7 linked regions of the Kluyveromyces lactis genome follow. The protein of the gene in region 1 interacts with the protein of each later gene in a pairwise test. Links are inferred from orthologs where the notes say so. Each region holds a gene or a part of one and is shown in the gene's direction. Other genes may lie near its edges. The genes, in order: SMT3, RAD51, TDP1, HMO1, SAP1, MCM5 and SRP1.

Region 1 (2,144 bases):
CGTCCCAGATAATCACTAGGAACATTATAATACATCATCTCATTCTTAAATCGATCAGTATATTACTTACCAACTACTAACTAGAGTGATTTCTGAGTTATCAGGACCAAATCATCCAATTTACTAACCATGGGCAGGTGGGGGAAGGAACTGAGGGAAAAGGCAATCAGAATACGATTGCCATCTCTTTGGCTGAGGCTAAGCTACGCATCTAACAGCTTCTAAAGTACCTCCAGTCTTGGATCGCTCAATGGCTACATCGTCTCATCTCGTCATCTTGTGACACACTTCTTAACGTTACTGCGAATGAAAAAAAGTAAAGAAAATAAGATTGTGCCATGAACCAAAAGAAAAGACCGCAAACTGCATACAAAAAGATTCAATACGCCACTTTCGAACAATCCCTGGCGCGGGATTCTAAGGGCTGTCCAGAGAAGAGCCTTAAATATTCCTGGAACAACCCATACACCTTCCTATTTCTTTTTCAAATGATCAGCTTCACCCAGTTAATACCGCAGCAATGAAAGAATATGGTCCTGCAGTTTCCATTTCTCGATGGAGCTTCCAGTAGAGGATGTAGCCATCACCTGCAAGGGCGACAAAATAGAAAACTGAAACTAAAATAAAAAGGAACGAGGTGGAAAACCCAAATTGGGCTAAGAGAAACGGTCTACGGAGGTTCTATTTCTTTTTTTATAAGAAAGATAGGGTAATAATCTCGGTGCTTTTAGTTTAATGGCACTTGAGAGAACGGGTTTAAGGTTCCAATATAGCCCAGACAGTTATAGCTTTATCGGAACAAACGAATGAGCGGTGGTGATAGCGTTCGGCGACAAAAATCCAATGCAACACGGACTGAAGCTCTATCCAAAAAACTGAAAGGAAAGTGCCCTCGTGATTTATATTTACAGGGCATTTGCGCGCTGTAGCACGCGTCTTATCTTTTTGCTGTACTTGGCAAAAGGAAACTTCCGGCTTCCGGCTAAGTGTAACCCGGCCATGGCCGGGTTACGATTAATCCTTTTGCCAAGTACAGCAAAACAAAATGGGCAGGAGTGAAAGATCACGTGCCTGTGGGTCGTTACCCTTCCCTCCCCTAACTTCTCATTTTCATGCTCTCAAAAGGAAGAAGGAAACTGCTTTTTGTTAGAGCTCTTTTCCATGTCAGTTGACAGTCGAATTTCAGGACTACAGTATTTTTTTTTTTTGGCCAGGAATTAGTTCAACAATACAAATTACCTTAACAAACAAAAGCTCAATCTATACTGCCGAGAGTTAGAAGAAGAAAAAGCGAGTCTTTAAACATTCATTGAATCCTGTTTCTCCATTCTTCAACGCCTATATATATAACCACAGTTTGAAATGTCAGAAGAACAAGAACAAAAGGTGGATGTTAAGCCAGAAACACATATTAACTTGAAGGTTTCGGATGGATCCAGTGAGATCTTCTTCAAGATCAAAAAGACCACTCCATTAAAAAGATTAATGGAGGCATTTGCTAAGAGACAAGGTAAAGAGATTGAATCCCTAAGATTCCTTTACGACGGTGTGCGTGTGTTACCAGATCAGACCCCTGAAGATTTGGACATGGAAGATAACGATATCATTGAAGCTCACAGAGAGCAAATTGGTGGTAGTTTGTAATTGGGAGTGTACTTTGCAGCAGTAAGTGGGATCAACTACAGCATTCCCATCCTTTTTTATCTTTCAATGTAACCTATCTAATGTTATAATAACTGACTATGTATCTGGAATATTAAAACTACTTTGGATGAACAACAAGAAAAGTGCCCGCAAGCTTATCTGCATTTCCCCAGGGAAAACAGTCGGTATGGAATTAGAAATGAAATCCGAATGGAAAGAAAAAAGAGATTGGGTATCAAATGGCAGGGCTTATAACAGACCTCCTGCAAATTACCACCCTTGTATTCCTATTTCGATTCGAAAAGCTAGGTTTGCTTCAAGTTTCGCGTTTTTAGGTCTTTTTTTTTTCAAGTCATTTTCCTTCCTAGTATGGTGAACATTCTTTTCAATTAGTATAACTGTTACAGTAAATGATTTTAGAAAGAATAATTTACCAGAAGTGGAAGAAATATTAGCTGTCTTGTTAATAGTTTTCTGCCACACTCGTTTTGAATTTGGTA
Region 2 (2,893 bases), on another chromosome or scaffold:
GTTCATCGGTCCATTGAGCAGCAAGTTCTTCTAAAATATTGTCTAGCGGAGTAGCTTCTGCGATCAAATAAAGACCATGGGATAGCTTTGATAGAGTAAGATACAACGAAGTCGGCCAAGGTCTCAAAAGGTTCAAAAATTCCGTTAGTACGCGCTTATTCTCCTTTGCACCTAACCAATTCGCATACTGTGTATATTCCAAGGGCCGGTAAGTCTGTTTCAGCATCTGGTCAGCCGTTTGTAGATCTGCATCGTTAATAAACGCATGGATATTCGTCATCTTCGGAGATTCCACTATTGGTGGATCGGACTGTTCATTGCCTACCATCAATCTGTTATGATTCTGGTTCTTATTAGGAGTTATAAACGCACCCATCGATGGCAATTATGGCAATTTTCTGTATGTGATTCTATCCCTACACTATGTATAATCCTCTGCTTAAAGCCCTTTGACATACGCAAAACACCTTTCAATTCTTCTCTATCCAAGGTAGAAGCCAAGGTTCAAGCGGTCAGCGAAGAATTCAAGGATTCCCCCACAAAAAAATATCCGAGACAGAAAGGCTGAACTTATTAATAAGACGTTCTTGAGAACTTGGCGATCAAATCTATCGCTGTTTAATAGTGCCTGATGTAACGGTTGGCCATTTTAAAATTCCTTTTAAGATTTCATTTTGGCAACAATTTCGATATTTCTTTTCATATTATTGCCTAATTCTGATATAAAAGTAAAGCCGCTAAGAAAAGCCGCTAAGGAAAGACGCAGTGAGACAAAGATCAACATCTATTGTACATGATAACACTGCAAGTAATATGGCTTTCTACAAACATATATGGCTCACTACTTTATATTTATCAGTACTATGTAGAAAAGATGGAAGACAGAACAAGCAATGCACTGCATGTGTTACACTTAAACCTTTCGAACTCAGTTCCGGTGATGGTCATGATGGGGAGGACCATGATGAGATAATCTTTCTTGATCCACCACCCACCGCAATATGACATGTGACTGAAGAGTCACGTGCCATGTAAATAAACACTCTTCAGGGACTGTTTACCATTTTAATTTGTTTTGGTTTGAAATTTGAATAAAAAAAACAAAACACCAAAACACGAAAAAGGCTATATAATTTAATTATTAATTACATTACATGAGACATCATTAATCAATTACGTTCACTTTTCTTGGGAGAAGCAGTTTTCTATCCTAGTTGTGAAAGGGTATTGTAGTGGTTATAAGGTCGCTTGAACCAGGCTAAATTGACTCCACAGAATTAGAAATGTCACAGGTGGAAGAAGTTCAGACTACTCAGGGCCATTCTCAGTTGATGGTCTCACGAACCGAAGAACAGATGGAAGATGTTCAGCAAAGAATTCAGGAAACGGATTTTATGGCTGAAGAAGACGATGTGGCTCTAGCCGCCTTTGTCCCAATAGAGAAATTGCAGGTGAACGGTATCACTTCTGGTGATATCAAGAAACTAAGAGAAAGTGGGTTACACACAGCGGAGGCGGTGGCATATGCCCCCAGAAAAGATTTAATGGAGATTAAAGGTATATCAGAGGCTAAAGCTGATAAGTTACTCGCTGAAGCGTCGAGACTAGTGCCTATGGGTTTTGTCACTGCGGCTGATTTTCATTTGCGTAGAAACGAAATGATCTGTTTAACTACTGGATCGAAAAATCTTGATACTCTACTTGGCGGAGGGATAGAAACCGGATCTATCACTGAACTGTTTGGTGAGTTTAGAACTGGTAAATCGCAACTTTGCCATACATTGGCTGTCACATGCCAGATACCTTTGGATATGGGAGGCGGTGAAGGCAAGTGTTTGTACATTGATACGGAGGGTACATTCAGACCGATTAGGTTGGTTTCGATTGCGCAGAGGTTCGGTTTGGACCCTGACGATGCTTTAAATAACGTTGCATATGCAAGAGCTTATAACGCAGACCATCAATTGAAATTGTTGGACGCAGCTGCACAGATGATGAGTGAGTCAAGATTTTCGCTGATTATTGTCGATTCTATTATGGCATTGTACAGAACCGACTTCTCGGGACGTGGTGAGTTAAGTGCAAGACAGATGCACCTTGCCAAGTTCATGAGATCATTACAAAGACTAGCTGATCAGTTTGGTGTCGCAGCGGTAGTGACAAATCAGGTTGTGGCCCAAGTTGACGGAGGAATGATGTTTAACCCTGATCCAAAAAAACCGATTGGTGGTAATATCATGGCTCATTCCTCCACTACTCGTCTTGGATTCAAGAAGGGGAAAGGTCCACAGAGATACTGTAAAGTGGTAGACTCACCATGTTTGCCTGAAGCAGAATGTGTGTTTGCGATCTACGAGGATGGTATCGGAGATCCAAGGGAAGACGATGATTGATCTGATTCTCTTTACCTGGTTATTCATAACACCAAAAAAAAAAGAATAAAAAGAAAAATCCACATTTTTAATATAGCATTCAATTTCCTACGTTGCTAGTAAAACCCCACTGCGTATCTATCTTCTCATTTATTTGTTCATATCATTCGTGTTATAAATAGTCCATAGGGCACGTTATTCTATATGTATATTCATGCAAACCCTCTCTAGTTGTTAAATGCTCGCATAAAACGCATATAATTCCCTCAGCGAAAAGGGACGACTATCCTTTCATTTAAGGGACTTGCATATCATAGCTACAAACACTTCTCCATGTCAGTGTGCTATTAATAGGCTTGACTTCTTTTAATATTCTTTACCTCATCACACCGGAATTCCGAACGTCAACAATCTGAAGCGAAATTTTTGGAAATTTCACCATTTCCACATATAGACAAGAAAGAGTAATTTTGCATTTCTATATAAAACACGTTAACTTTGTAAAACAAAGGTTTGCGAGA
Region 3 (3,336 bases), on another chromosome or scaffold:
ATGGTCCCCGTATTGTTCACGTATGTAAGAAACTAAATCCTTGGCGTATCTGAATCCGTTTTCACAAGGCTTCCATTCTTCTTCTTCTCCTAAAGAATTGATAGGTGGATCACCTCTCAACGCAAGAATATTTTCACATCCCGCATCGTAAGCCTTCTTTAAAGCATCATCGATCTGTGACACTGGCATGTTGGTACATGTTAAGTGCATACACGTCTCAAGTCCTAAAACACCTTGAGATGTGGCCACAAGGTCCGTGGAAAGCATGCTTAGACGACCACCGGCGTTCCATGTGATATCAATAAATTCAGGTTGGGTCTGATACATACGATCCATACGTTCGTATAAGTTTTGGACACCCTGAGATGTTTTTGGAACAAAGAACTCGAACGAGAACGTAGCATCCTCGCGCTCCTCATGCGCTCGCTGTAACTTCTGAGAGATTCTCATCTTCTATTGGTGGTACCTATGATTCTTCTTTAGACAGAGTATATCACAAATAATAATTAAGAGTAATAAATGAATTTATGAATCCAGCTGAGATAATGGATGATAGTCAGTCTAATATCAACAGTAGCTGCTAGACTCCAAACAAGTTTGCTTAGTTAAGTATCAGCACTTACTCATACCAAGGTACCAAATGAATAAAAACTTGAGGTAATGTGAAAGTTATACCTATACTGAACGAACTCTATATATATATATATACGCATGACCGATTCTCACTATATTCAGTGAAAAATACCGATCATCTTCGAGATAGAAAGAACGATGTGCTGCTACCAGTCGTTTACCTTGTGAAAAAATCAAATATGAGAACTCTCGCACACAACTGTCATTCTGAAACTCTCTTCAGTAACCTAATACCTTTCATACCGTAATTGTGTGCGACTCGATTGTACAAATCATGTGAATCATGATGTAAAAATAAGTGCACATGCAACTTGTTGAACCGACGAAAATGACAATTATGACAAAACGACAGATATGCTAGTGTGAAAATAGTGCATCCTGTTTTATCCTGCGAAATTTTTGCAGGACATGCGCAATTGTGTGTGTTGTCGGTGTTATAATTTCGGTGAACCGCCCCGATTGTGGGACAAAAGTGCATTCCCTCGGGAAAAAAAGTGTAATGGGGTTTACACTAAGTCACGTGAAATATACATATCACGTGTTGTGTTGATTTTGTTATCGTGGATCTACTCGATCCAGTACATGGCCTTAATAGTTCAACTTAGAAGCTAAAGAGTTGCAGGGAAGATGAATTGCGAAGTTCAAGGCAGAATTAACATATTGGTATTGGATTATATGCCGTAGAAGTTATTGAGTGAGTGCTTGTGACATGGGTGTGAGAGATACAGTACGATCTCATTGGGCTACCTTGGGGACAAAATCCGATAGTAAGCCGGTTGTTCCAACAACGATAGGTTCAGGGCGGAATGTGTCAACTGCAGCGCCAGTTGCTGCTACCGCACCAGTTTATAGCCCTTTTAAAGTGGTAAAAAGTGTCATTTTCGATGGTGATTCAAGACAACCAGATATGTTCGAGTTGAATGATGTACTTTCGGACCCATCATTGAATGAAGTCTGGTTATTTTCCTTTGGATTTCAAATCAATCTTATCATGTCCCCGATCAAAGATCACGTTAAAGTTCATATAGTGGGTCAATTGAACACAATCAATTCGGAACAACCGATATCGCATTATGCAAACCTGAAAGTGCATCGAGTTGATATTCCCTCGCCTTGGGGTTGTCATCATTCCAAGATTATTTTCTCGTTTCATCAAAATGGGACGATGAGAATGCATGTACCGTCATTTAATCTATCTCGTGAAGAGATGAACTTGGTTCAGCAGACAGTATGGACCTCACCCCTGTTATACGAGAAGTCAGAAACAGTACCGAAAAAGAAATCCCGGTTTGAGGACGAATTATTGGAGTACCTTAATTCGTACTCATCGTATACGTCATTATATGGTTTGATTGCATCTTTAAAGCGGTACAAATGGCATGTCTTGGACGAACAAAATTGTCAATTTGTGTACTCAACCCCATATAACGGTGGTTTGACACAATTGAAGTCGTGTTTGAGAGCATCTGGTATGAAATTGCATGGCGATGAAGAAGATGATGATCTTTCATTTGTAAATCTTTTCATACAGGTAAGTTCTATGGGGAACCCATTCAGAAAAAAATTCGATCTCCTACAGGACGTTATGATACCGTACTTATACACCGATTGGTTCGAAAAGGATGGGTACGATAAAAAATTGAAATCCAAGGAATATACGACACCGTTCCTAGCGCACTCGACATTGGTATGGCCTACTAAAACCGAGATCAAAGAGTGTATGACACAGGGGCTAAGTGCAAATTGGTTTTTTTACAAAAGATCAGAACAAACTGAGAGGAAAGTAGTGCCTTGTTTAAGAAAACATGTCCCTCTGCCAACAAACGCGACACAGTCCGATAAGAATAGGCATATGGTTCCAAGCCATACCAAATATTATATACAATTCACAGATGAAAATACACTCAAGCGACCAGATTGGATACTACTCACCAGTCATAACCTTTCCCAAGCTGCATGGGGTCCCAGCCCACTAAAAAAACCTACCAATTACGAATGCGGTATTCTATACACGACAACCATGGGGAGAAACAAAGTACGGTTAACACTAGCAAGTGCCCAACAACCGCCAGGAAGAACAATTGGGTCAAGGGTACCCGAAGACATAACTGTTCTGCCCACAGTAAAAGTGGTGACGCCGTATCCATTGAAATTTCAGCGTTACTCAGCAACTGACGAACCTTATACCTCTGTCGTTCAATGATGATATACACAATAATACCATCTAACAACATTCTAAGGCGCTGACATCTGTCAGCGCTTTACGTTACCCGGATTATTTAGGTATCACACCGGAATAACAGAAAAATTGACAATGTCCGCATCATTCCCACGCATCACGTGCCCCCACCCTTTTCCGTCGTTTGAACACCTATACACCTCATCGCCTCCATCAATCTCATCTGCTATGTCGTATTCTCCCGTCGCCAAAACAGGTTTTTTCAGCAGATTTGTGATGGCGCACTTACTATGCGCTAGCATATCTATGAGATAAATACAACGGTATAGCAACCCGCGAATCGCTCGACCCGTACAGTCGAAACGAATAAAAAAAAGCTTATGCAGCGCATATATATTCCTTTAAAGGATTTTGATTTCACCAATATATAAAGAAATATAAGAGGGTCATTTCAGCACCAGGGAAGTTGTTAGTTCTTTAGAGTCGTTATTCCTTTATTCATTGTATTATCTTCTGTTTTGTGT
Region 4 (2,848 bases), on another chromosome or scaffold:
ATCTTCATCAAAAAGCTCTTCATAATCATAATATTTAATGAAATTTTCATAATCTGAATAATATGCGTAAGTACATGCTTTAAAATAATCTGAAAGATTATTTTCTAATTCTAAGCAGATTTTTAATTGAAATTGAGAAATTGTCCTGTACTTGGAATGTCTTCTAAACTTTTTTCTCACCCTCGCACCTTTTCTATCAGCTCTCACGTTTTATATTGCAAAATGTATCCATTTTCTTCATTTTCTTACTACCCTGAGTTGTTTTTCTAAGTATTTTTTTAGGTGGTAAAACTCGCGCTTTTACCATTTTTCCTTTTTTCATCATTACCCCTTTCATATATGCGCATCTCAAATATGCTCTAATGGCAAGTTTCGTTCTATTATCCCTCATAAGAACCGTAATCTCCCTAAACTAACGCCTTTCTAAGCAGTGTGTTATTTCTCTTTAGTTTTGAAAACACGGTTTGTTGGGCACCATATTTGCTGAACTGTCTAGCGAACTATCCATTTATAAGTGAAAGATGGTTCATTTTCATTTGCTCATGTTAAACTATGGCGTTGTAAGAGCATTTCTAAGGCGCCAGTTATTGAACCAATGCTAGATAAGAAGCCGAAGCTGAGAAGAACTAGGATCAAGGCTACAGCGTTTGGTGATTGGCAAGACAATCCACAAAGTATATAAGTAGAAGGTTCCTTCATAAAATTTACCTATTTGGATTTGACGACACATTAATTATTGTTCTACATTAACTTATATGTCAGATGTAAGAAACCAAGGAGAACACCATATATAGTTACTTCGTCAGTCGAAGTTCGTATACCGTTCACCAATTCAATCATCAAACAATTTCACTATTAAACTTTTAAGACGGAATGGCATCTTTTGACATGAATACTACTAACCATCTAAGCGAAGTCCCTACTACCAGATCTGATCATCATTCGGTCCAACGGCCCACACTCTTTCATTTTTTTTACTAACTTTTCAAAATAAAAAGAATGAATGTTCGGAATTACCATGTTTTTGATTTTATACAATCTCGGTAGGAACGCGTTAGATAATTCCTGAGAGTTTCTGGGTCTTCTTTCATTCTTCTTTAATTCTCCGTGAAACAAACGCATCACCGGAAAAAAAAGGTTGCTATATTAGTTACCCGAACTTTATGTGGGGAATTTAGATGTATTACCCGGTTGACTATATTTGTATTGACCAATCAAATTACATAATGGTAACTTGATCGTTGGGAGTCTCTTTTTTTCTTCCAGGCTGAGTGTTTTTCATCTTGAAAGGAGAACCATAAAAATCTCAGAAGGACTTACTGGGAAGCTAATGGGAGCTCCGTTTAACAACTTCCTTCCAGAACGACCCTTCCAACAGACTTCGAAAGAGTTCTACACGTGAATCCACCAAAGATTTTAAGATGTCCGAACCTAGTATCAAACTAAGAACGGCGAAGGACTCTGTACGTTACTATCATATGAAGCTGTAAATCACGGTGTCGCAGCTGAATATGGAACATATCATAACAGTAAGTTTCCATGTATGCTCCTCATTCATAGGTGAACTGTTTTACGATGTGTTTTGTATATCTATCGATGCTTGAGGCGTCATCTCGACCAGCTGTACTAACAACAATAATCCTAAACATCAACAGTTAGTTTCCTCTCTATTCGAGCTATCAAAAGCTGCTAACCAAACTGCATCATGTTTAGTTGACTTCTACCATTCGATCGGCGATGATGAAGAAGAAAGAATCGAGGCCTTTACTATTTTGACAGAGGCGTTACAGAAGTTAACTTCTTCTACGAATCAATTGAATTCCATTAGTACTGAGCTAACAAACCCTATTGAAGATGAGAAGGAAATTCCCACCACTGACGCAGCTGCAAAGGTTGTCAAGAAGAAGATTCCACGTGATCCTTATGCTCCAAAGAAACCGCTTACCGTCTTCTTTGCATATTCTGCGTATGTTCGTCAAGCTTTGCGTGATGAAAGACAAAGAGCTGGTCTCCCACCATTGTCTTCGACTGAAATCACTCAAGAAATTTCAAAGAAGTGGAAAGACTTAGGAGACTCTGAGAAAGACAAATGGAAACAAGCGTACAACGCAGAACTAGAAAATTATCAAAGGGAAAAACAAAAATACTTGGAAGCTAAGAAAAATGGTACCTTAACATTAAATGAAGGTCCAAATTCTGCCCCTGTTCCACTTCCTGATTACTTGCAATCTGCCGAAGATTTCGGCTTGCCCCATATTGAAAAAAGACCATATGATGAAGATGCTTCCAGTGAAAAGAAAAAGAAGAAAAAGAAGAAGGATAAGGGAAAAGACAAATCTAAGGACTAACGAGCTGGGATTTATATAATGCTTCATACATATATATGATGACACTCTTTCTTTCTTTGTAAAAATAGTTGTAACAATGTGTAATAATATACAAGAAATATAAGAATAATACATTTAATCTGTATGGGATGATCTTCACAGCACAAGCTGCTATAGGAAGCATTGTGGAGTAATTGAAGATTTTCTTTGTGGTATTGTTTCAAATTTTTCATATCACTTCACTTATTTTTATTCTTTCCCAATTGAAATTAATCTTTGATCCTTTAATTTGTAAAACACTTACGTGCAATTCAGTACATGGACCTTATTTTCGTACACACGTTGTTCAAATACTATGCCAAAATAATGAGTGGTATATTTTAATGTCAAGTCAACGTATAACTTATCTACAATGCATCTATGCAGTGCCAAATTTCTTCAAATATTCCGCCGTCAGTTTACTTCTTTGAATTACTCGGTGACAAGTTTGAAAGAATCTCATTTAGCATTGCTGATCAACT
Region 5 (3,963 bases), on another chromosome or scaffold:
TGAACAAAATCAGAACCGGCGATCGTCCCATGAATTTTAGTTTCGGTTATCAAGATATCTACAATTGGACTTCAGCCGAAAACTATTTGTTCATCAATGTTTCTGGAAACCACGATATTGGCTACTCTGGAGATGCCACTTATCAACACATGGCAAGATATCGCGAACTCTTGGGAAAAGATAATTATTGGATTGAATATAATGCTGGCACCGATAATGCATGGAGGATAATTGTTTTGAACGATTTATTATTAGAAGGACCTGCACTACAACCAGAATTACTTGAAACCAATTGGGAATTTTTATACCAATTATTTGAAAGGAAATTCGAAGGTAGTACGGTATTGCTCACTCACATACCATTTTATAAGCCATCTGGACTGTGTTACGATGGCCCAGAATTCAGATACTACCCAGAAGATTACCAGAGAGAGCCTTACAAGTCCAAGCTATTGAGATCACAAAACCATTTGAGTGCTGAAGCTTCTAACAGGGTACTTAACTTAATATTTGATGCTGAAAAACCTGGTATCATTTTGACAGGTCACGATCATGAAGGTTGCGAAACTGTCTATAACAAAGATGACAAAGGCAATTGGACTGCATCCAAAACAACAGATCCAAAAAATCTAAATATCAAAGAAATTACTGTAAGGTCGATGATGGGAGAATACCATGGAAACACTGGTCTAGTAACAGGTCATTTCAACGAAGCAACAAGACAATGGGAATGGAGTTTCAATTTATGTCCATTTTCCATTCAGCATATATGGTGGTTTACCAAGGTAGTCACCATTATAACCGGCTTTTTGTGGTCGTCAGCATTTTTCTTCTAATTGACATGCTGAAAGCAGCATATTCTGTTGGGTATACCAACAGTATGGTATCTTAACTTGTAAATGCAACATCAGATTTATTTTGGTCACTGTATATATTCGTACTCTATATTTATAATTGATACTGAGGAAAACGTTGAGTTAGAAGATTGCAATTTTAAGTTGAAAATACTGAAGAGAGCTGACTGTGTAAATAGAACGGGTGCATGTCCTACTCCCGTTCCACAAGCTTGCCTGGCTTTGATGAATCCCTTTATTCACGTGACCTGTTGTTTTGACAATTGTCTTGACGCAACAAATAGAACAGATCAATCTTTCTATAATTCTAAGCCATATTTAAGTATCTGCAAAGAAAAGGAATGATTAACGCAACAACAAATGGTAAGATATCAAACTAGAAGGAAATCCTAAGTTCCATTTTCTAGTGAATCGTAATAATGGATAATCATGGGCTACTAATGAAGTTTTCTAGGATTCGAAAGAAGCCTCAGCAGCCCCTAAATTCGTTGGCAGAACTATACTCACGCATAGCGAATGAAACAATACATTATTTAGGTTTAGAACAAAGACATGAGTACAAGGCAGCAATTCAAGGATGGAAACTAATGGCTACTGATGCAATGTATAAGCTGAATAATATTGACCGTCAATATCCTAACTTCGCTTCATATACCGAGGAGGAATTGAATCTTCAGACAGGAATACGTGAGTTGTGCGATAAAGCAATGAAAAATGTGGAAAGAGTGCAGTTGTTATGTGAAGATGTACCGAAACCTGATAATAACAGCGGAAAAACATTTTCTATTGGAAATGGTGGTAAATTTAAGGTCCATACGTTAAGAGATGGGATGTACAAGATGCGATATAACAAGAGTGGCAGTGGTTTGGGATTAAAAAACGACAAGAATGTACAAACGGCGAACCCTGTAAATTTTTCTGCATCCAAATCTCTACCAGCAGTAATTCCTCAGGATCCCTTTGAAGACTTTGATAATGAGGTAAATTTAATTGATTTAACGGATGCCGAAACTGTCCCCTATGATCCTTCTCCTCTTCCGACGTTCAGTATATCTTCTGATCCAAAACAGGAACCATACACGGATTATTTGAACATCAGTGAAGAAGACATGACCAGACTGAAAACATTGGATAAATTGAATGGTACAGCAGATGCATTTTCATTACTAAGCGTGGATACTGCTGAGGCACAGCGTCCTTCTCCCAGAAGACCTTCTCCTCCTCCAGTACCGCCTCAGAGGAAACCCAGTGCGAAACAGAAAACTACAACTTCAGACACTAACGTTGACGCAGCATTAAAATCCTCTCCACCTACACAACCCAAGCAGCAAAGGCCTGTTCAAAGGCGAAATACGTCTATCAGCGCAGCTGTCGCTGCATCGCAACCACAGCTTAAAGCAAAAGCTGTCAAGCGACCTGTCGTCACTGCCAAAAAATCAATTCAGAACGGCAATTCAACAAGTAAACTCAAGAAACCAATTTCAAAATCTAGTCCCTCATTAATAAATACTGTGGTTAGAACAACTTCTCAAACCAAAACTAGGGTAAATCCAACATCTGTTGCAGCTACTACAAAAACATCTGCTATATCAACTAATCCTACAATAACGAAACCAGCCCCACAAAGTTTGGATGAAGTTACACAGACGAAGGAACAACTAGAGGACGAGCTTATTGAATCATTGCCTGGTGTTGATAAGACTGCTGCTAAACAAATTTTTAGTGAAATTGTCGTCCACGGAGACGAAGTGTACTGGGACGACATTGCCGGTTTGGAAACCGCAAAGAACTCTTTGAAAGAGGCAGTTGTATATCCGTTCCTAAGACCTGACCTATTTCGTGGGTTAAGAGAACCTGTAAGAGGAATGCTGCTATTCGGCCCTCCTGGTACTGGTAAGACCATGTTAGCTCGAGCCGTTGCGACAGAATCCAAATCTACATTTTTCAGTATCAGTGCATCAAGTTTAACATCCAAATATCTTGGTGAATCAGAAAAATTGGTAAGAGCCTTGTTTGCAGTAGCCAAGAAGCTATCACCGTCCATCATATTCGTGGACGAGATAGATTCCATTATGGGGTCAAGAAATAACGAAAGTGAAAACGAATCAAGTAGAAGAATCAAGAATGAGTTCCTAGTACAATGGTCATCGCTATCAAGCGCAGCAGCTGGTAAAGATTCCAAAGATACCGACGACCGTGTCCTAGTTCTTGCTGCTACAAATCTCCCGTGGTCTATTGACGAAGCTGCCAGAAGAAGATTCGTCAGAAGACAATACATTCCTCTTCCTGAGGCGACCACAAGAAAGGTTCAGCTCAAAAGGCTTTTACTAAACCAAAGGCACACCCTGACAGACGAAGAATTTGAAGAATTGGTTCTGCTAACAGACGGGTACAGTGGCAGTGATATCACATCTCTTGCCAAAGATGCGGCTATGGGACCCTTACGTGAACTAGGAGATGAACTACTATTTACGGAAACAGATAGTATTAGATCCGTTAATTTGGAGGATTTCCGTAACAGCTTGAAGTATATCAAACCATCCGTCTCAAAGGACGGTTTGAACCGTTACGAAGAATGGGCAGCCAGTTTCGGATCATCCGGAGTATGAACCTCATGATTCAATGGAGTCTCCCGTTTCTTGTCCGTCTCTTGTCGATCCTTATTACGTTGCGTCCCGAGATCAGCCCATCGATATCTGACTGATAAACATTACTGGAAATACCGTTGCGGAAAAACCGTTGCCGATACCAAAATCTAAACATTTTTTTTTAGGGCGGCGAAAACCGAGTCACGTGACAGCATAGATTTGCATTGTTTCTATGATCTTTTTTCGATAAGATAACAGATTATACTACCGAACTATCGTTACTTGGTAATTAAAACGGACTATATCAGATATCTGAGGATGAGGCATGCGTAAATGATACAGCGTCTGCTAGGAGTACAGCGTGTCTATTTGGCATCATAGCGGATACAGGGAAACATCGGATCAGAAATGTATAAATATAACAGGGTTGTAATGTTTCAATTACAATCTGTTTCTTAGTGTCAGCATTATAATTTTAGGGTTTCATGTCATAATTTGTATTATCTAATATAATATTTAAA
Region 6 (4,226 bases), on another chromosome or scaffold:
AGTTTGACGTCGTAGCAACTGGTGATATGTGCCGTGGAGGCACCCCCATGGTAAAACTGTTGGGAATATTCACAAGTACAAACAAACATACATACTTACTTACCATAAACTCTCACAGAGGAACCCGGAAATACGACTGGAGATGCAGCTGGAATGGGGGTTTTTCTTTGAGAGCTAGTTCTAGCCATGGCAATGACTGAATGCTCGATACTGACGTTTCAGTGCTGGATTCATCTTACTGGAATGGCTAATAATAAAGCATGGGGTGGCAAGAGCGAGGGATATCTACATGTAAGGCGTGTATGAGCGCGATTACTTTCTAGACGTGCGCCTATTTTTTTTCTTGTTTTTCTTTTTTTCTAATTTGCTTTTTCCCCATAGTGTAGTTAACATTAAATCGTATGATATTCTGCAGGCTGTTCGCACAAGCTCAACACGGGGTTAATAAGGGCGCTAAGCCGGGTGAGTCTAGTGCTGAATCAGATCAGGAACACACTGGGAGAGAGAGAGGGAGCTGATGATGCGCGGACAAATGAATAACAGACTTGAAATTTTTTACCTAATGCTCAATCAATGATTTCCTAATCCCAAAATCAAAGAAAAATTTTCTGACTAGAATGCTTCCATAATTTTTCAATGATTTTGGCGGCTTGAATTGTGATGAATGCATTCAACATTTTTTGCAGTGCGGTTGAAAGCACAGGCAAAGTGATTCGTCTGTAGTAATTCTAAGAACATTCTTGTGACATTTACTCTCCACCTTTATATTGTTGTAACAGCTGTTGGTCTGGTGACCGATCATGAGGTTTTTCCTAGCCGTTTCACTCAGTTCAAGTCGTAGAAAAATTTAGTCGGGATTCAGTCTCCTCTTGCCCCTCTTCACCAATATGGCTGAATACCGGATTTTTTGCATCTTTCATTTTTGACCGATTAAAGAACGGCTTGAAAAATCAGTACGCTTGATTTTGCTAGATAGCTAAGTTATCCTGGCTTGGCCTTTTGCCGCTTTTGGTAAGGTGGCAGGAATTTTTCATTACATTTCAGCGGTTATTCTGTGTAGCGAAGTTTCTCCGATTTCTAAGATCAGAACAAACCACGAAAGCAATGCACCCTTATTGACTTTCCTTATTCGGTGCAGTTGGTTGTTCGAGCAACGCGTCGTCACCTAAATTGAATCCCTCAAGGCAAAAAGAAAACCGCATTTTAACCTTCCGGGTCACGTGTTGAGAAGTGTTGTTTCATATTTATTTTTCTTTCGGTTCGATCAATTACTTTTCCGTATTAGGTTAAGCGAAGATCAAGCTTTTTTTTTTTTTGATTTGGAATTTTATTCTGTTTTGAATATCCGGATTCAATCGCGACTTAAATTACAACAAACATCATACATCTTAAAGAGTATCCGTATTACATGTCTGTGTTTCTAAGTAAACTGCTGAGATAGGTATTATACAATTTCAAGGGCAACAAGTCAATTGAAGACAGGCCATGTCGTTTGATAAACCAGAGATCCATACCACTAGAGTGTTGGCAGGTGAAGAACTGTCTTCCAATGAAAATTCAGAGATTATCAAATCTTTTAAGAGTTTCATACTGGAATTCAGACTAGATTCCAACTTCGTTTACAGAGAACAACTGAGAAATAACCTGTTGGTTCATAAATACTTCCTTGACGTGAATACGGAGCATCTTATTGGATATAATGAAGATCTATACAAAAAATTACAGGATGAACCGATAGATATTATCCCGTTGTTCGAACAAGCAATAACTCAAGTGGCAAAGAGAATTGTTTTGTTATCGCAAGATTCTGATATTGATCCAGAGACAGCGTTGTCGAACTTCCCACTATGTCAGCTCATTTTAAATTCCAGTTCTATGGAAATTCCATTAAGAAGTTTGGATTCGGATCACGTTTCTAAGATCGTCAGAATTACAGGGATCATCATCTCATCCAGTGTCTTGACATCAAGAGCCACTCAGTTATCGCTAATGTGTAGAAGCTGTAAACATATGACAACTTTGAAGTTGAACAATTTCCAGAATTTGAATAACAATAACGTCCAGTTACCTCGTGAGTGTCTTGCAGATCGTTCCAACGAAACAGATGAAACAGCAGCTTCTTGTGGCCCTGACCCATATTTAATCGTACACGAATCGTCACAGTTTATTGACCAACAGTTTTTGAAACTACAAGAATTACCGGAATCCGTGCCAATTGGTGAATTGCCTAGAAATTTACTAATGACATGTGATAGATATTTGACCAACCAAGTTGTTCCAGGAACAAGAGTTACCATTATTGGTATTTATTCCATCTACCAATCCAAGAATAAGAGTATTAATAGTTCTGGAAATAAAGCTGTGGCGATCAGAAACCCTTACGTGAAAGTTATCGGGATCAAACACCTATCAAATAATCCGTTAAACAATTCTCTATCTATGTTTTCGGAAAGTGAAGAACAAGAATTTTTGGAGCTTTCCCAACGACCAGATCTATATGAACTTTTCGCCAACTCAATTGCTCCCAGTATCTATGGTAACACTGATATCAAGAAAGCCATCGTTTGTCTCCTTATGGGCGGATCGAAGAAATTGTTACCAGATGGTATGAGACTAAGAGGTGATATCAACGTGCTACTGCTTGGTGATCCTGGTACTGCAAAATCCCAACTGTTGAAATTTGTGGAAAAAGTTTCTCCGATTTCGGTATATACATCTGGTAAAGGTTCTTCTGCAGCTGGTTTGACGGCAAGTGTCCAAAGAGATCCAACTACACGGGAATTTTACCTAGAAGGAGGTGCAATGGTGCTTGCTGATGGTGGTGTTGTCTGTATTGACGAATTTGACAAGATGAGAGACGAGGACCGTGTTGCCATCCATGAAGCCATGGAACAACAAACTATTTCCATTGCTAAAGCCGGTATCACTACCGTTTTGAATTCTAGAACTAGTGTCTTAGCTGCAGCAAACCCTGTTTACGGTAGATATGATGATTTGAAATCACCGGGTGAAAACATTGATTTCCAAACTACCATCTTGTCCAGATTCGATATGATCTTCATTGTTAAAGATGATCACAATGAAGCTAGAGATATCCAAATTGCGAACCACGTCATGAACATTCACACAGGAAGAACTCAACAAAACGATCCAAATGATAATTCCAACTCCAACAACGAAATTCCAATAGAAACTATGAAGAGATATGTTAGTTACTGTAGGTTAAAATGTGCCCCCAGGTTATCTCCTGAAGCAGCCACAAAATTATCTTCTCATTTCATCACTATTAGAAAACAATTACAAGAGTCCGAAAGACATTCCAATGAGAGGTCTTCCATTCCAATCACAGTTCGTCAATTAGAAGCCATAATTCGTATCACAGAATCTTTAGCTAAATTAGAACTGAATCCAGTAGCGACCGAAAAACATGTTGATGAAGCCATTAGATTATTCCAAGCTTCTACGATGGATGCTGCCTCTCAGGATCCTATCAACTCCCAGGAAAATGATACAACAATGCTCTCACAAATTAGAAGAATCGAATCTGAATTGAAAAGAAGGTTGCCAATAGGATGGTCTACAAGTTACAAAACTTTGCAAAGGGAATTCGTTGTGAACAAGAAACTTCCCCAATATGCGCTAGATAAGGCGTTATACCTGTTAGAAAGACATGATTCTATTCAACTAAGACATCAAGGTCAGAATATTTATAGAAGTGGAGTATGAAGTTGCAAATGAAATTCAGGAACCCCTCCTTGAACATTGTCTATAACTCATATGTACCACTGTGTATAAGGAATTTCAGCGACTATGTGTTGATATTTATATAGTGTAAGATTACCCGGATAATGATAATGATAATTGGATAATCCGAAAGAAAACAACTGGATGGTATATTGGGTTTGATGCACAGGATGAGATGATGAGATGACCAAAGAAGGAACCTCTCATATCATATGGCAATCAGGACAAGTTATCACAAACTTACGAGATTGCAAATATCATAAGCCAAGGACTTATCTTCAGGATTTGTCTGTTACATATACTAGAAAATTGACCTAAAACACGATGGCCGATACATATATTCCAAAGACAGACCTTTCAAGGTCTGAACTATCTAGAGACGAGCTAACACAACTAGAAGAATTCGAAATGAAATATGGACCCATGTCTCTAATCAGGGAATCAATGCTACAGAGGACACCTGTTATAATATCACTAAGGAA
Region 7 (3,336 bases), on another chromosome or scaffold:
TGTGTTAAATTAACACAGTATATACTACTCAATCTCATCTATCTGTGTCCTAATTTGAAAATTATTCCATTTCATGAATGAAAAAAAATTGACGTTTATGAACCGTACAGCAGTGTGTGTGTTGTGAAAATTCATAATCGTCGATATTTGGAGTATATATATAACAAAAAGGAATGGAGTGCAGTAGGTGAACCGTGTTTCTTTCTTGGCGTTGAATTCTGAATCTTTCCCGCCTGTTCATTCGAGCACTCATTTATTTGTGAGGGACATTTTCAAAATGCTGCTAGAGAGAACATGTCAATAAAACATCAACTGAGCGGTTTTGTCCATTCCTTTTTCTCTCCCTCAAATCATTCCATCCATCTCCAATACCCAGTGAATGTATTTTTGATGCTTACTAAAGGGGGAAATAGAAAAAGGAACTTATGCTAGTTGATTGTATCACAATTCTTTCGCTTCTACTCTCATCAACTTACCCTCATGTATACTTTAGTGTGTGTGTATCATGAGAATGAATGAGGAACGAAAACAAGGAATCCCCGGTGATATATTTATATTACCAACCATCCCAAATATATTATGTATACGTATATACATCTCTTAATATGTGTTGAAAAGTGTGTCAAATTGACCCTGCCCATCTTTTCCTGTCTTTTGATGTTAGAACCTTTGTCGTTTTCTTACACGAGGTTGGTATGTCACGTGACAACTCCGTACATCACGACTATCTGGCAAAGAAATTTCAACCAAAAAAAAAAATTCGAATTTTTTGGATGGCCAAAAAAGAAGGATTTTAATCAAGATGGATATTATATGGGATTGAATAAAAGATTGGTTTGCATTCTACTTCAATTACACTGTTACATATATAAAACAATACGGTGCTCTTGGCTTCCGATATATTTTTCTGTCAAGCAATACAAAGAAACGAATCAGATTTTCATTTACTCAAGGGGAAACGCTATTTGTGATTGTTAGAGATTGATTTTGCGACTGATAATTTCTTCTTTAAATCCAACTTCTCTTTATTTTTGTTTGATTTGGAACCCATTTGCAAAAATATCTACTTGAAAAGACGGGACGATCAATTGTGATTGTGAGTTTGGTAGAAAGGAATTAGTTACAATCTTTTTTTTTACTTCTCTGAATTTTCTTTGGTTCGCGGCTAGCACGAAGGATCAGATAGCAGGTATCCGTTTTATTATTTTATAAGTGAAAGATGGACGGTGACACTTCCAGCAAGTTTGTTCCTGAATACAGGAGGACAAACTTCAAGAATAAGGGTAGATTCTCTGCTGATGAATTACGTCGTCGTAGAGACGTTCAACAAGTCGAGTTGAGAAAAGTCAAGAGGGATGAGGCATTAGCAAAAAGAAGAAATTTCAATGCGCCTGTTGGTAACGATTCTGATGATGAAAATGATGATGATGACGATCAGGACTCCTCTTTCTACAGACAATTACAACAGGAGTTGCCTGCTATGTTGGAACAAATCCATTCTAACGATCTACAACAACAGTTGGCTGTGACGGTCAAGTTTAGACAAGTCTTGTCTAGAGAACACAGACCACCTATCGATTTGGTTATCAGTACTGGCGTAGTGCCAACCTTGGTCCAATTCATGAGCGAAAATCAACCTGAGATGTTGCAATTGGAAGCTGCTTGGGCGTTGACGAACATTGCTTCTGGTACTTCTGAGCAGACTAGAGTCGTCGTAGATGCGGGTGCTGTGCCATTATTCATTCAATTATTATATTCAAACTCGGTTGAAGTGAAGGAACAAGCTATTTGGGCCTTGGGTAACGTTGCTGGTGATTCCACCGATTATAGAGACTACGTTTTGCAATGTGGTGCCATGCAACCAATTCTATATTTGTTCGAATTGAACAAGACTTCCTTGATTAGAACAGCTACGTGGACTTTATCTAACTTGTGTCGTGGTAAGAAACCTCAACCAGATTGGTCTATCGTGTCTCAAGCTTTGCCAACTTTGTCTAAGCTAATCTACTCCATGGATACTGAAACGTTAGTCGATGCTTGTTGGGCTATCTCATATCTTTCCGATGGCCCGGTTAATTCGATCCAAGCGGTAGTAGATGCTAGAATCCCAAAGAGACTTGTAGAACTACTATCCCACCAATCTACGTTAGTGCAAACCCCTGCTCTAAGAGCTGTAGGTAACATTGTCACAGGTAACGATTTGCAAACTCAGATCGTTATCAACTGTGGAGCCTTGGCAGCTCTAAGAAATCTATTGGCTTCTCCAAAGGAATCCATAAGAAAGGAAGCTTGTTGGACCATCTCTAATATAACCGCTGGTAATACGGAACAGATTCAAGCCGTTATTGATGCTAACTTAATTCCACCATTAATCAGATTGTTGGAAACTGCAGAATATAAGACAAAGAAAGAAGCATGTTGGGCCATCTCGAATGCCTCTTCTGGTGGGTTACACAAGCCAGAAATTATCAGATATTTGGTCAGTCAAGGCTGTATAAAACCATTGTGCGATCTATTAGAGATTGCTGATAACAGAATCATAGAGGTTACACTAGATGCTATAGAAAATATTTTGAAGATGGGTGAAATGGATAGAGAAGTCAGAGGTATTGCCGTGAACGAAAATGCTGATTTCATTGAGAAAGCTGGTGGTATGGAAAAGATCTTCAATTTACAGTCTAATGCTAACGAAAAAATTTACGAAAAGGCCTTCAAGATCATTGAAAAGTACTTTAGTGATGAAGATGATGTTGTTGATGAATCTATGGCTCCACAAACAGCTGGTAACACTTTTGGATTTGGATCAAATGTCAACCAGCAATTCAACTTCAATTAAAACCAACTCTAGCTGTGCGTGTGTCATGTAATTACATTTGCTTTTTTTATTCTAGACAATAAATGAATACTACGCGCCTGTTAAATATCATATAATTTTTGCATTAATGTAATCTATCTATAGTATTATTAATCTACACTTCTCCCTTCATTGTGAAACAGAATTCTATGTCATTAAAGGGCCCAAGTCTTATTTGCAGTTTTGAACCACGATAAAAGTAAAAACTGTGCTCAAAAAACAGTATCATGGACCTTCTCTCTGTCATAGAAATTAGGTGACCAGTTAGGTGCATATCACTTTCGGTGTTACCTCTACATGTTCCGATGCATAATATCAACATTTAAAGGTTTGGATTTTTGTAAACCTTTAAAAATACACAATCGAAATTTCCTCGGTGAAACATCGCCTATAATCACACGAAAAGGAAATATCCAATGCATATGTGCTACTTCAAAGCTCGGAGTTGAATATTACGCTGATGCGATAATATGAGTTCAATG

Evidence for each region.
Region 2: the proteins of SMT3 (region 1) and RAD51 interact in a two-hybrid assay, tested with the Saccharomyces cerevisiae proteins (2 studies listed by BioGRID). The link is inferred for Kluyveromyces lactis from reciprocal best matches to the Saccharomyces cerevisiae genes SMT3 and RAD51.
Region 3: the proteins of SMT3 (region 1) and TDP1 interact in a two-hybrid assay, tested with the Saccharomyces cerevisiae proteins (2 studies listed by BioGRID). The link is inferred for Kluyveromyces lactis from reciprocal best matches to the Saccharomyces cerevisiae genes SMT3 and TDP1.
Region 4: the proteins of SMT3 (region 1) and HMO1 interact in a two-hybrid assay, tested with the Saccharomyces cerevisiae proteins (2 studies listed by BioGRID, with this or other methods). The link is inferred for Kluyveromyces lactis from reciprocal best matches to the Saccharomyces cerevisiae genes SMT3 and HMO1.
Region 5: the proteins of SMT3 (region 1) and SAP1 interact in a two-hybrid assay, tested with the Saccharomyces cerevisiae proteins (2 studies listed by BioGRID). The link is inferred for Kluyveromyces lactis from reciprocal best matches to the Saccharomyces cerevisiae genes SMT3 and SAP1.
Region 6: the proteins of SMT3 (region 1) and MCM5 interact in binary tests that used the Saccharomyces cerevisiae proteins (3 or more experiments, as listed by UniProt). The link is inferred for Kluyveromyces lactis from reciprocal best matches to the Saccharomyces cerevisiae genes SMT3 and MCM5.
Region 7: the proteins of SMT3 (region 1) and SRP1 interact in a two-hybrid assay, tested with the Saccharomyces cerevisiae proteins (2 studies listed by BioGRID). The link is inferred for Kluyveromyces lactis from reciprocal best matches to the Saccharomyces cerevisiae genes SMT3 and SRP1.

What each region holds. Positions count from the first base shown.
Region 1 is NC_006039.1:125,580-127,723, forward strand, and holds SMT3 (SUMO family protein SMT3), read left to right. Parts: upstream 1-1,362; coding exon 1,363-1,644; downstream 1,645-2,144. UniProt on the Saccharomyces cerevisiae protein: Not known; suppressor of MIF2 mutations.
Region 2 is NC_006041.1:1,798,048-1,800,940, forward strand, and holds RAD51 (recombinase RAD51), read left to right. Parts: upstream 1-1,283; coding exon 1,284-2,393; downstream 2,394-2,893. Other genes in the region: Arf family guanine nucleotide exchange factor YEL1, read right to left, coding at 1-376. UniProt on the Saccharomyces cerevisiae protein: Required both for recombination and for the repair of DNA damage caused by X-rays. Its function may be modulated by interaction with other repair proteins. RAD52 interacts directly with RAD51, via its C-terminus.
Region 3 is NC_006042.1:884,402-887,737, reverse strand, and holds TDP1 (tyrosyl-DNA phosphodiesterase 1), read left to right. Parts: upstream 1-1,342; coding exon 1,343-2,836; downstream 2,837-3,336. Other genes in the region: methylenetetrahydrofolate reductase (NAD(P)H) MET13, read right to left, coding at 1-450. UniProt on the Saccharomyces cerevisiae protein: DNA repair enzyme that can remove a variety of covalent adducts from DNA through hydrolysis of a 3'-phosphodiester bond, giving rise to DNA with a free 3' phosphate.
Region 4 is NC_006040.1:1,520,488-1,523,335, forward strand, and holds HMO1 (Hmo1p), read left to right. Parts: upstream 1-1,421; coding exon 1,422-1,463; intron 1,464-1,655; coding exon 1,656-2,348; downstream 2,349-2,848. UniProt on the Saccharomyces cerevisiae protein: DNA-binding protein that is probably part of the rDNA transcription apparatus. Acts synergetically with the RPA49 subunit of RNA polymerase I during rDNA transcription. May participate in mutagenesis control.
Region 5 is NC_006041.1:395,527-399,489, reverse strand, and holds SAP1 (putative AAA family ATPase SAP1), read left to right. Parts: upstream 1-1,273; coding exon 1,274-3,463; downstream 3,464-3,963. Other genes in the region: TED1 (Ted1p), read left to right, coding at 1-836.
Region 6 is NC_006040.1:778,788-783,013, forward strand, and holds MCM5 (MCM DNA helicase complex subunit MCM5), read left to right. Parts: upstream 1-1,485; coding exon 1,486-3,726; downstream 3,727-4,226. Other genes in the region: mRNA splicing protein SMD2, read left to right, coding at 4,069-4,226. UniProt on the Saccharomyces cerevisiae protein: Acts as a component of the MCM2-7 complex (MCM complex) which is the putative replicative helicase essential for 'once per cell cycle' DNA replication initiation and elongation in eukaryotic cells.
Region 7 is NC_006040.1:729,689-733,024, reverse strand, and holds SRP1 (karyopherin alpha), read left to right. Parts: upstream 1-1,219; coding exon 1,220-2,836; downstream 2,837-3,336. Other genes in the region: KAR1 (Kar1p), read left to right, coding at 3,325-3,336. UniProt on the Saccharomyces cerevisiae protein: Functions in nuclear protein import as an adapter protein for importin beta nuclear receptors. Binds specifically and directly to substrates containing either a simple or bipartite NLS motif. Promotes docking of import substrates to the nuclear envelope.